Linked DNA regions of Rattus norvegicus. The protein of the gene in region 2 interacts with the protein of the main gene of each other region in a biochemical or structural test. Links are inferred from orthologs where the notes say so. Each region holds a gene or a part of one and is shown on either strand. Other genes may lie near its edges. The genes, in order: Grb10 and Insr.

Region 1 (4,276 bases), on a different chromosome or scaffold from region 2:
TTACCAACAAATCGATTCAGGGGGGAAAAAGTATTGCGAAAGTATGTAGAAACTTTCAAATATCTGTAAAAGTTCCCTGACCTGACAGGCTTTGTGTCTGGGACAGTATGGATCGCTGGTGAGACTTTGCAGGAAAACTAAAAGGTTTGAAGCAAATCAACTTGGGAAAAGTTAGCCCAGTTTTCTCTGCTTTGGTTCGCTTTTGAGTCCTTTGTCTACAAAAGACTTCTTGTGTTCCTTTCCCGGGGAATCGAAGACTTATTTCACATCCTTTCCTCTGGATTTTCACCTTGTGGGTTTCTGAGTCTGGACCAACGGCCAGAAACAGGAGTGAGTGTTCAGTTATAAGAAAGGGAAAACTTTTCATTGATTACATCAATCTGAGGTCGGAAAAACCACGGTTAGAAGCAAGAGGTACCAGAGCAGTGCTCTCAAAAAGCGCGTCGGGACAATACGTGCACAGCACAGCTTTCAAATCCTTGCCCTGAGCTCCCTCCCAGCTTCTCAACCTTCTAGAAGTTACTTCTTAAGAGACTCAGTCTCTCTACTTCTCTACAGTTGCTCTAGAAACAACCTCAGAAGTTTGAGTGAGGGAGAAGTAGGAGAACTCACGAATGTTTCACACCACGTGTCTTCTCGACTACGGTGATTTACGGTTGGGGCTGCTTTTACCAAGCCGAAACTCAAGAAAAAGGTGTAATTATTGGTATCCTATCTGTGCTAGAAAAGCGACACAATATAGACATTAAGAATTATTTCGAAGGGGCCGATCACATAAGCCCTGTTGCCTTTTCGTGGGTCACTTTAGAAACCGGGCACGGCCCGTCTGGGCTTTACTTTCAGGAGGGCCCCACTTCAGAGGTAAAGGACACGAGGCTTGCTAGGCTGCCTCAAGAAACAATGAAGGGCCTCTCAGGCTTCCCTCCTTCGGCTACTCACACGCAGCTGGCGAAACTGAGGCTGAGAAAGGTGAGGCTCGGACCGACCCGCCGTGAGCAAGCCCGAGTTTCCTTGTCCGGGCCCGGGGCTGCCCACGACGGTGTCGGGCGGCCGCAGCCCAGGAAGAATTTGAACTGTGCGGTTGGGGAGTACTTTCTGAGTTTCGAACAATTCCCTTCCGAATGGCCCTTCGGGACAGGTCCGGTCGGTCTTCGCCGGCGCGGCCGCGCACCGGGGCGGTGGCGTGGCGCCGGGGGTCCCGCAAGCTGCGAGCATGGTGGGCGCGCGCCGGCCTGGGCGGGAGAGCATCGTGCCACGCCAACCCCGCGGCCGCTGAGCCCGCGCCCCCCGCGCCACGCCCTGCGCCCAGGCCGCGGCTCCTCCCGCGCTGGCGGCCGCCGAGCGGTCCGGGCGGCGGCGGGAGGAGGAGCAGGAAAAGCGGCCGGGGGAGGAGGAGGCGGAGGCGGTGGCGGAGGCGGGGAGGGCGGGCGGGGCCCGGAGAGTTTAAAGCCCATCGAGGGGGTGGGGTGCGGGGAGGCGGCAGGAAGAGAAGGGCGCTGCGACCAGTGGCGGGCGGGATTCGCGTTCCGAGACCCACGGGAGCACGAAGTTTCCGCGCACCGTCTCACGCACGGCGACTGGGACCGTCCAGTGTCCGTCTTTGCCTTCGGCTTTTTCGCAGGGACTCGTGCAACGTGTGGCCAGCGGCCACGCGGAGGCGACGAGGAGCTGCACGCCAGGTAGGAGTTGGGCGGGGAGCGGCGGCAAGTTACTTTTGTGGTCCGCGCCTCGCGGGGCCCGGCGGCCGGGCGGCTCCCCGCGCCGTCATTGTCTGCGCTCGGGGCCGCCCGCGAACGGGACGCGGGGCCCCGCGAGGCGCGGCGGGCGGAAGGGCGTCGCCTCGGGGGGCTAAGGGACTGAGGGGCTGCGGCGCCCCCGGCCCGCGGCGGGACGGCGCGGGATGGCGGGACGGGACGGCGGGCGCGCGGCTGCGGCGCCCCGCGACGCTCTCCACTGCGCTCTGGCCCCCGGGGGGAGGCTCGGGGCCCCGAGAGGGACATTCTTGAGCCGTCTTGTCCGACGGCGACGGCTCGGGGGGCTCGGGCGGGGGCCGCGGTCAAGGCCGCGCTTTCGGGGGCCACCGCCCTGGAGGGTGGGCGCCCGGGGATCACCGGAGCGGCGGGTACTCCCGCTGCGCCCCCGGCCTCGGCGCGCGCGCCAGGCGGGCCGGGCAGCGGTGCCAGACACTCCCAAGTCCCAAGCGAGCGCGGCCCGGGCCGCGGTCCGAGGATCTGTCCCTACCCCCCCCCCTCGTGCCCCAACCCCCACCCCTTTCTTTCTTCGGGTCTGTTAGTGGCCCCGCTACCCGTCGCTGGGGCCTAACACCAAGTTTGAGGGCTCGCGAAAAAGCAGCCCGCCAGCGGTGGAAACGTGATAAGAGCGGTACCGTTTGCAGAAGGAAATTTCTGATGCAACTCTCCGCCTTTGCTGATTGCCTCTCCAAACGCCTGCCTGGCGAGGGCCTGCGGCATGTGCGTTATGGAAATTAGGGTATTCACTTTTTAAAAAAATTGTATTTGCCTTCTCTTGGCATTGGAAGAAACCCCGCGAACTTCTTTTCATTTGCTTTAACCAAAAAAGTAGGAGCGCCACAGGTGATTTTTACAAGGCCCCGGGTCTTTGGGATGTTTTTGAAAAAACTCTTTTCTTGTAACTGTTTCATTCAAGAGATGCAAAGAAAAAGTCCAAAACAAGTAGCATTAGTGAGTAAATATGTGTTATTGCACAACTTTCCCTTTGCGGCTGTTTAAAAGGCCAGGCCCAGAAGACTTTGTTTCAGAAATTGCTGATTCAGCCATTTGGAGCCCCTGAGTTTCAGAAATGGTGCTCAGTTTAACGTTTCGCTCTCCTTTACCAGAACTCCAGTCGTTAACATCGCCCCCCCCACCTCACCCCCTCGAGAACAGACTAAGGCTTACACTTTAGTGAGGTTCCTATTTTACAGAAGTGGACCTCGAGTTCTGGATTTCTGCAGCTGAGGGAATTGTGTAAGGCGATGGATGAGGCGTCTTAGAACTATTTCACCAAGAGTGCTGCGATCAAATGTGCTCCCAGGAATGAGTCTCGCCTACCAAATTTTTGTCTTTAAAAAAAATCAAAACTTTAGGATTACTGAACATACTTTTTTTTTTTTTTTTGAGTTTTACTGGGAACATTTGAAAGAGGCCAGTCCCCACATTACAGGGAGGGAATTTGAGGACAGACGGAGTTGCAGCCCAGCAGGCGTTGCAGTAACTGAGAAGTGTAGCCACTGATACTGAGGTAGCATTTCGCAGTTTACAAGGCGCTTTCAAAAGCCCTGTTGCTTTTTATGCGCTTCGTGGCCCCCACGGTCCCCATTTTACAGGTCTGGAAACCAAGGCTCAGGAGGTTAACTGGTATGCCTCAGGCCGCACCAGCTAACAAAGGACAAAGCTCTGGGGAGACCTCCTGAGCTTTTTACCGTCTGCAAAAGCATGTCCACTTCTAGAAGAAATGGTGTAGAGGAGGGACACCCTGCTCAACACACAGCAGAGCAAATGGAGGACGGGGCCTGGTTTCTTAGACCAGTTGCTTCCAGCCTTCCAGATTAATGCCACGTAGACCAAGCAATTATCACTGAGGTTTTTCTTTTTTCTTTTTTCTTTTTCTTCTTTTTTTTTAACTTACATACTCATTTACTTTGAGAAGAAACTTCAATATTCATCAAGCCATGAGTTTGATATGATATTTTTGTTCATTATGATTAAAGTTAAAACGCTTCGTGGCACCTAAATCACTTATTACACACTACTTGGCCTATGTTGCTTTTGAACCAGTGTTGGGTTGGTCAAAGTGGATTTTGTAGGCGGACTAGGGAACCAGAAAGCAGGGCAGATTTTTTGGTGGCTAATTGTCTAGGACTTTGGGTGGTGGTTACTGCTATGGTTGGAAGCCAGAGCAGCTGTGTCTGTCCAGTTAGCCTCCACTGGGCAAGAAGGACAAAATCAGAACCAAAGATCCAGCTCAAAATTTAGGATGTGGCTGAACCCGCTGGGTCACAGGCTTTACAGTGTTTCGAAGCCAAACTTTGGTTGAACCAAGCCATCCATGTGCCCTTAGCTCATTTTAGAGCTGTACAGATTTTTGCTTGGCCTATCTTTCTTTTTAAACTGGTATTTTATAGATGGTGTGATTTAGAGAACCTATTTGCTTGAAAGTTTGTTCCACGTGTAAGAAACTACAGGACCGTCGTGTCTATTTGCAACTGTGCGCTGGGGGCAGTTGTCCATCCGTGGAGACTCAGTGCTCCCCGCCG
Region 2 (4,354 bases):
GCCATTCGGGTCTGAATGGGCGTGGGGAGTAAAGGGTAGAGGACTCTGGACTGCACATATTCGTAAGGCCCAGACAGGGTTAGCTCCTCTTCAAGGTGGTTGAGCGGGGCTGTTTTCTTAGACACACAGCCACCTACTGGTATGTGTGTTGAAAATGGAATATGTCTGCCCTGATCCTATATGAAGTTTCTACCGTTGTTCTAGACGCCTTGTTATGTTCTTCTCGGAGTCATTTCTTTATTGATTTCTGCTGGAATTCAGCGCTGGGTGGAGGGGCTCAGGCCAGGGAGCACAGGCTGCCTGCGTTGTGGACACGTGGCTCTGGCCTGGAGGCTGGTGCAGCCACGCTGCTGGGCGGGAGCTCACTGGGGAGGGAACTTGTTGGGCTCCCACTAGCTCCTAGACAGAGCAAGGGTTGGGAGAATCCAGTAAGGCATTAGGAGCAGAGGTTGTAAAGCGAAACAGAATCAAGAGTAAAGAATTAAACTGAATTCCCCACGGGAGTCAAAAAGTAGTAAAAAGAGTAAAGAAAGTCAAGGTCTGCTTGGTCGAATCTGGCATCTGGGGGCATATTGGCGCTCCCACGTTGTGATCAGAGACTCGAGGCTATAGAGCTGTTTGGGATGTTCATGCCCTGAGGAATCTGAGGGGGGCATTTCCAGGCTTTTAAATTGTTATTTCGGGACCATTTGGGGTGTCCGAACCAGGAGGAGATCTAGAGTGAGCTCCAGACCTTTAAATTGGAACCTCGGTGTTATTTGTGTTTGCTGCAGTCTGGAGGTGACCTGGGGGCGTCCCTAGGCTTTTACATTGGAACCTCAGGCCTGTTAGTGGTTTTCGCGTTAGGAGGGGATCTGGGGCTCCCTAGGCTTTAATATATTTGGTTGTGAGCCTAGCCTTTAACGGCTGAGCCATCTCTCCAGCCCTCCCTAGGCTTTTAAATAGGAACCTTGGAACTCTTTGGGGGCAGCTCCCGACGTCTGACAGGGGAGTCTCAGAGTTGTTTGGGTGTTTATGTCAGACTGGTATCTGAGAACACTTACAAGCTTTTTTTTTTTTTTTTTTTGGTTCTTTTTTTCGGAGCTGGGGACCGAACCCAGCACTTACAAGCTTTTAAATCGTAACCTTTCTAAATCGGCAGTTCGGGGTGTGTGGATTGGAAGAGTCTGGGGTGCACGCCGGGCCTCTGAAGTTGGGGGCTCCACAGGAGGAGTCGAAGAGGCGACTGGGCGAGCGGGCAAAGGGGCGAGAAGGCGTGGCATTGCCAGCTCTGGCCACGCCTCCCAGAGCTCCGCTGGCTTGTCTCTCCCTACCCCACCCCCCCCCCCCCCAGCGGGCCTCACTTGTGCGCGCAGTCCCTTCCCTGCCTTAATCCGCGCCACCTTTTCCCTTGGCCCGCGCGGGCCCAGCTGACGGGCCGCGTTGTTTACTGGCCGGAGTCGAGCCCTAGCTCCCGCCGCCGCCACCAGCCCAGGTGCCCTCCCGTGCGCGCGTCCCTCTGTCTCAGACTCCACACAACGCGACCCACCCAGAGCTGCGCGGAGAGGAGAAACGGGAGACCCGGCCAGGGGACGCACCTTGGTGAGCTCTGGACTCTGCGATTGCGGACACAGGACCGGGCCTGGGTGACCCGGGGTTGTAGTCTGCGGGCCGCGCCACAGTGTTGCTTGCAGCCGAGGCCTGTGTGCTCTTCCCAGGACTGTCCCCAGGGCCCTCTAGGCTGGAGATCTGCGGCCCGTAAGCCACCGGCGTGGAAGAGAAGGACGTGCGGCCCCTAGCGCCTGCCTCTCCAGCGACCTTCTCGCGGAGTATGTCCCCAGTGGGCCGGCGTGGCGTGCTCTGATCGCCGGGGTCCCAGCGCTCCTACTGCTATGGGCTCCGGGAGAGGATGTGAGACGACGGCGGTGCCGTTGCTGATGGCCGTGGCCGCGTTGCTGGTGGGCACAGCCGGCCACCTGTACCCTGGAGAGGGTAAGTCTGGCACACGGGGCGATCACAGTGTGTCAGGGACACTCCTCCCACCGCCCCAGCTAACCTAGAGCCCTCACCCTAAGGAGTGAGGGTCGAGGACACCCCCTCTCCACTGCCACAGCCCACATAGAGAACTCTCCCTTTGGGCTGAGTAATGGACACCCTTCCCATCGCTCCATACAACTTAAGAGCACCAACTCCCCCATAAAGGACTCAGGGCACCCATTTCACCACCCCAGCAAGATAGTCCTAAGGACTGAGAGTTATGGACATTTCTCTTCCTCGGCCAACCTAGACCTCCCTCTCCAAGGACTTAGGTTGAGGACTCCCCTAGTGTCCTTGTGTCTATGAAGAGTCCCCTCCCTAGTGAGTGATTACCTTTCCCCTGGGGAAGGGGGAAAAGTGGGCTTGGTGGCCCTGGTCCTGCGTGAAGCCGGCTGACCTTGGCCTTTGCCCGCTGGGTTTGTGGCTCTGTACCCCGCGTATGCCCATCTCGGGTCTGAGGAACCTTGCCCCAGTGCCCGCCCAGCCTTCCGCTGTCTGTCCCCAGTGCACCTCTCAGTCGTGTCTGTTCTTTTCTCTAAACCCAAATCTGCCCTCCGAGGCTCTTTGGGGTTGCCTTAAGTAAGTATGGTTACTGGGGTGCAACAGATTCAGACACCTGAGCAGTTTAAACGCAAAGTCCGGGGTATCCTCATCGATGGAGAAGCGACCCTTTGTGTATAATAAGTTCATGGCTGCCGTGTTTATAAGTTTCTACTTTCAGATGTCTAGAGGCAAAGTCTACATACCTTTGGCCCCACAGCAATCATAGTAACAGTAGGGGTAGCTTTCAGGATGGTTATAATTAGAATGATTATGAGTCTCCAGGCTGGTTTGCCCTAGAACCTCCCAGTGTTCCCCTGAGGCCAAAAGTGTTGCACACCCATTTCACAGAGGGCTAAACTGAGGTTCAGTTAGCGTGCTAAACTCACTCGTTCAGAGGCTGGTCTTATACTTCTGTGCTTGGTTATGGCCAAGGCAGGAGGATAGCCAGTTGCTTGTGGCAAGCCCAGCTATTGATTGAGTTTGAGGCCAGCCTGGGCTAGGTTAGGCACTGTTTGAAAAAAAACAAAAAAAAAAAAAAAAAAAACAAAAAAAATGCAGTGACAAATGCCTTTTGAGTTACTGGTTCAGCTTTCTCTGAAAATGGAAATTAATTACCAGGAGGAAGGGGTCCAGGAGAGAAGGAATTGCAGCTCCTTTGTGAATGAGGGAGGTGTGCGTATTAGGGGGGAGACTGCAGGATTCTGGAACAGATTGGGTTGAGCTTATGGAGTGGATCTGTTAACCTGGTAATGAGGTCCCCAGCATCTGATATACAGAAGGTGCTCAATGAAGGATGGCCATTGATTTGGGGTGTGTGTGTGTGTGTGTGTGTGTGTGTGTGTGTGTGTGTGTGTGTTTGCAGACGCCCTAGGTTGACTTTGGGTGTTTGTCTCTGTCACTCTCGACCTTGTGTTTTGAGACAGGGTCTCTCAATGAACCTAGAGTTTGCTGATTTGACTGTACTGTGTAGTCGGTGAGCCCCAGCCCTCCCGTACCTCCTTTTGTCACTAGGGTTATAGATGTGTCCTGAAGTGCTGGCTTTTATGTGTGTGTGTGGTTGGATCTGAACTCAGGTTCCGATGTTTGGGCAGCAAGGGTTTTCACTTAATGAGCCTTCTCCCCAGTCCATGGTTTGGGTTCTCATTAAGGAAATCTAAGAATTGTTAACATCTACACTGCTCCCTGGGGCTCTTTGGGATTGCCTTAGGGAAGTAGGGGTATGTTGTATGTGTGGCTGTGCACTCGGGCACCTAGTGTCGTCCCTTGAGTTCTGTTTTTACATTCTTTTGGTAATTAATTGTTCGTCTGTGCCTGGATTTCCTGAGTTCAGAAAACAGAGCTTCTGTGGCTTTGTATACCTGCAGGGTTCGCGAGGACGGGGCCTGGTGTTTGTTCCTCACTGATGTTAGAACCTCAGCAGTGCTGGACACGTAGTAGGTGCACATAAATGTTTGTTCCCTACTGGTACACAGAGGACTTGTGCAGTGAGCCTACTGGGTGTATGGCCAGAGTGTAGTGCTCCCCGTGTGCGCACGAAGTCCCTGGATTTCATCCCTAAACTCACAGAAACCGTGTGTCTGCCTGTCATCATAGCAGTCTGAAGATATAGGCAGGTCTATCAGGGGTTCAAGGTCACCCTGGGCTCCGTAGTGGGTTTGAGGCCAGCCTGGGCTACAGGAGACCCAAACGACAATAAATATGATCTCGTGAGTCCTTCCCGCACCTCTTCAGAGCCTCTGGCTTTTGCATGGGAAGAAAGGACAGGACTATAAAGGTAGCTGACTGGCCGCTTGCC

What was found.
Region 1: the proteins of Insr (region 2) and Grb10 form a complex in vitro, tested with the Homo sapiens proteins (5 studies listed by BioGRID and IntAct). The link is inferred for Rattus norvegicus from reciprocal best matches to the Homo sapiens genes INSR and GRB10.

What each region holds. Positions count from the first base shown.
Region 1 is NC_086032.1:90,813,585-90,817,860, reverse strand, and holds the start of Grb10 (growth factor receptor-bound protein 10), read left to right. Parts: upstream 1-1,473; 5' UTR 1,474-1,679; intron 1,680-4,276.
Region 2 is NC_086030.1:6,125,973-6,130,326, reverse strand, and holds the start of Insr (insulin receptor preproprotein), read left to right. Parts: upstream 1-1,523; 5' UTR 1,524-1,871; coding exon 1,872-1,971; intron 1,972-4,354. UniProt on the Homo sapiens protein: Receptor tyrosine kinase which mediates the pleiotropic actions of insulin.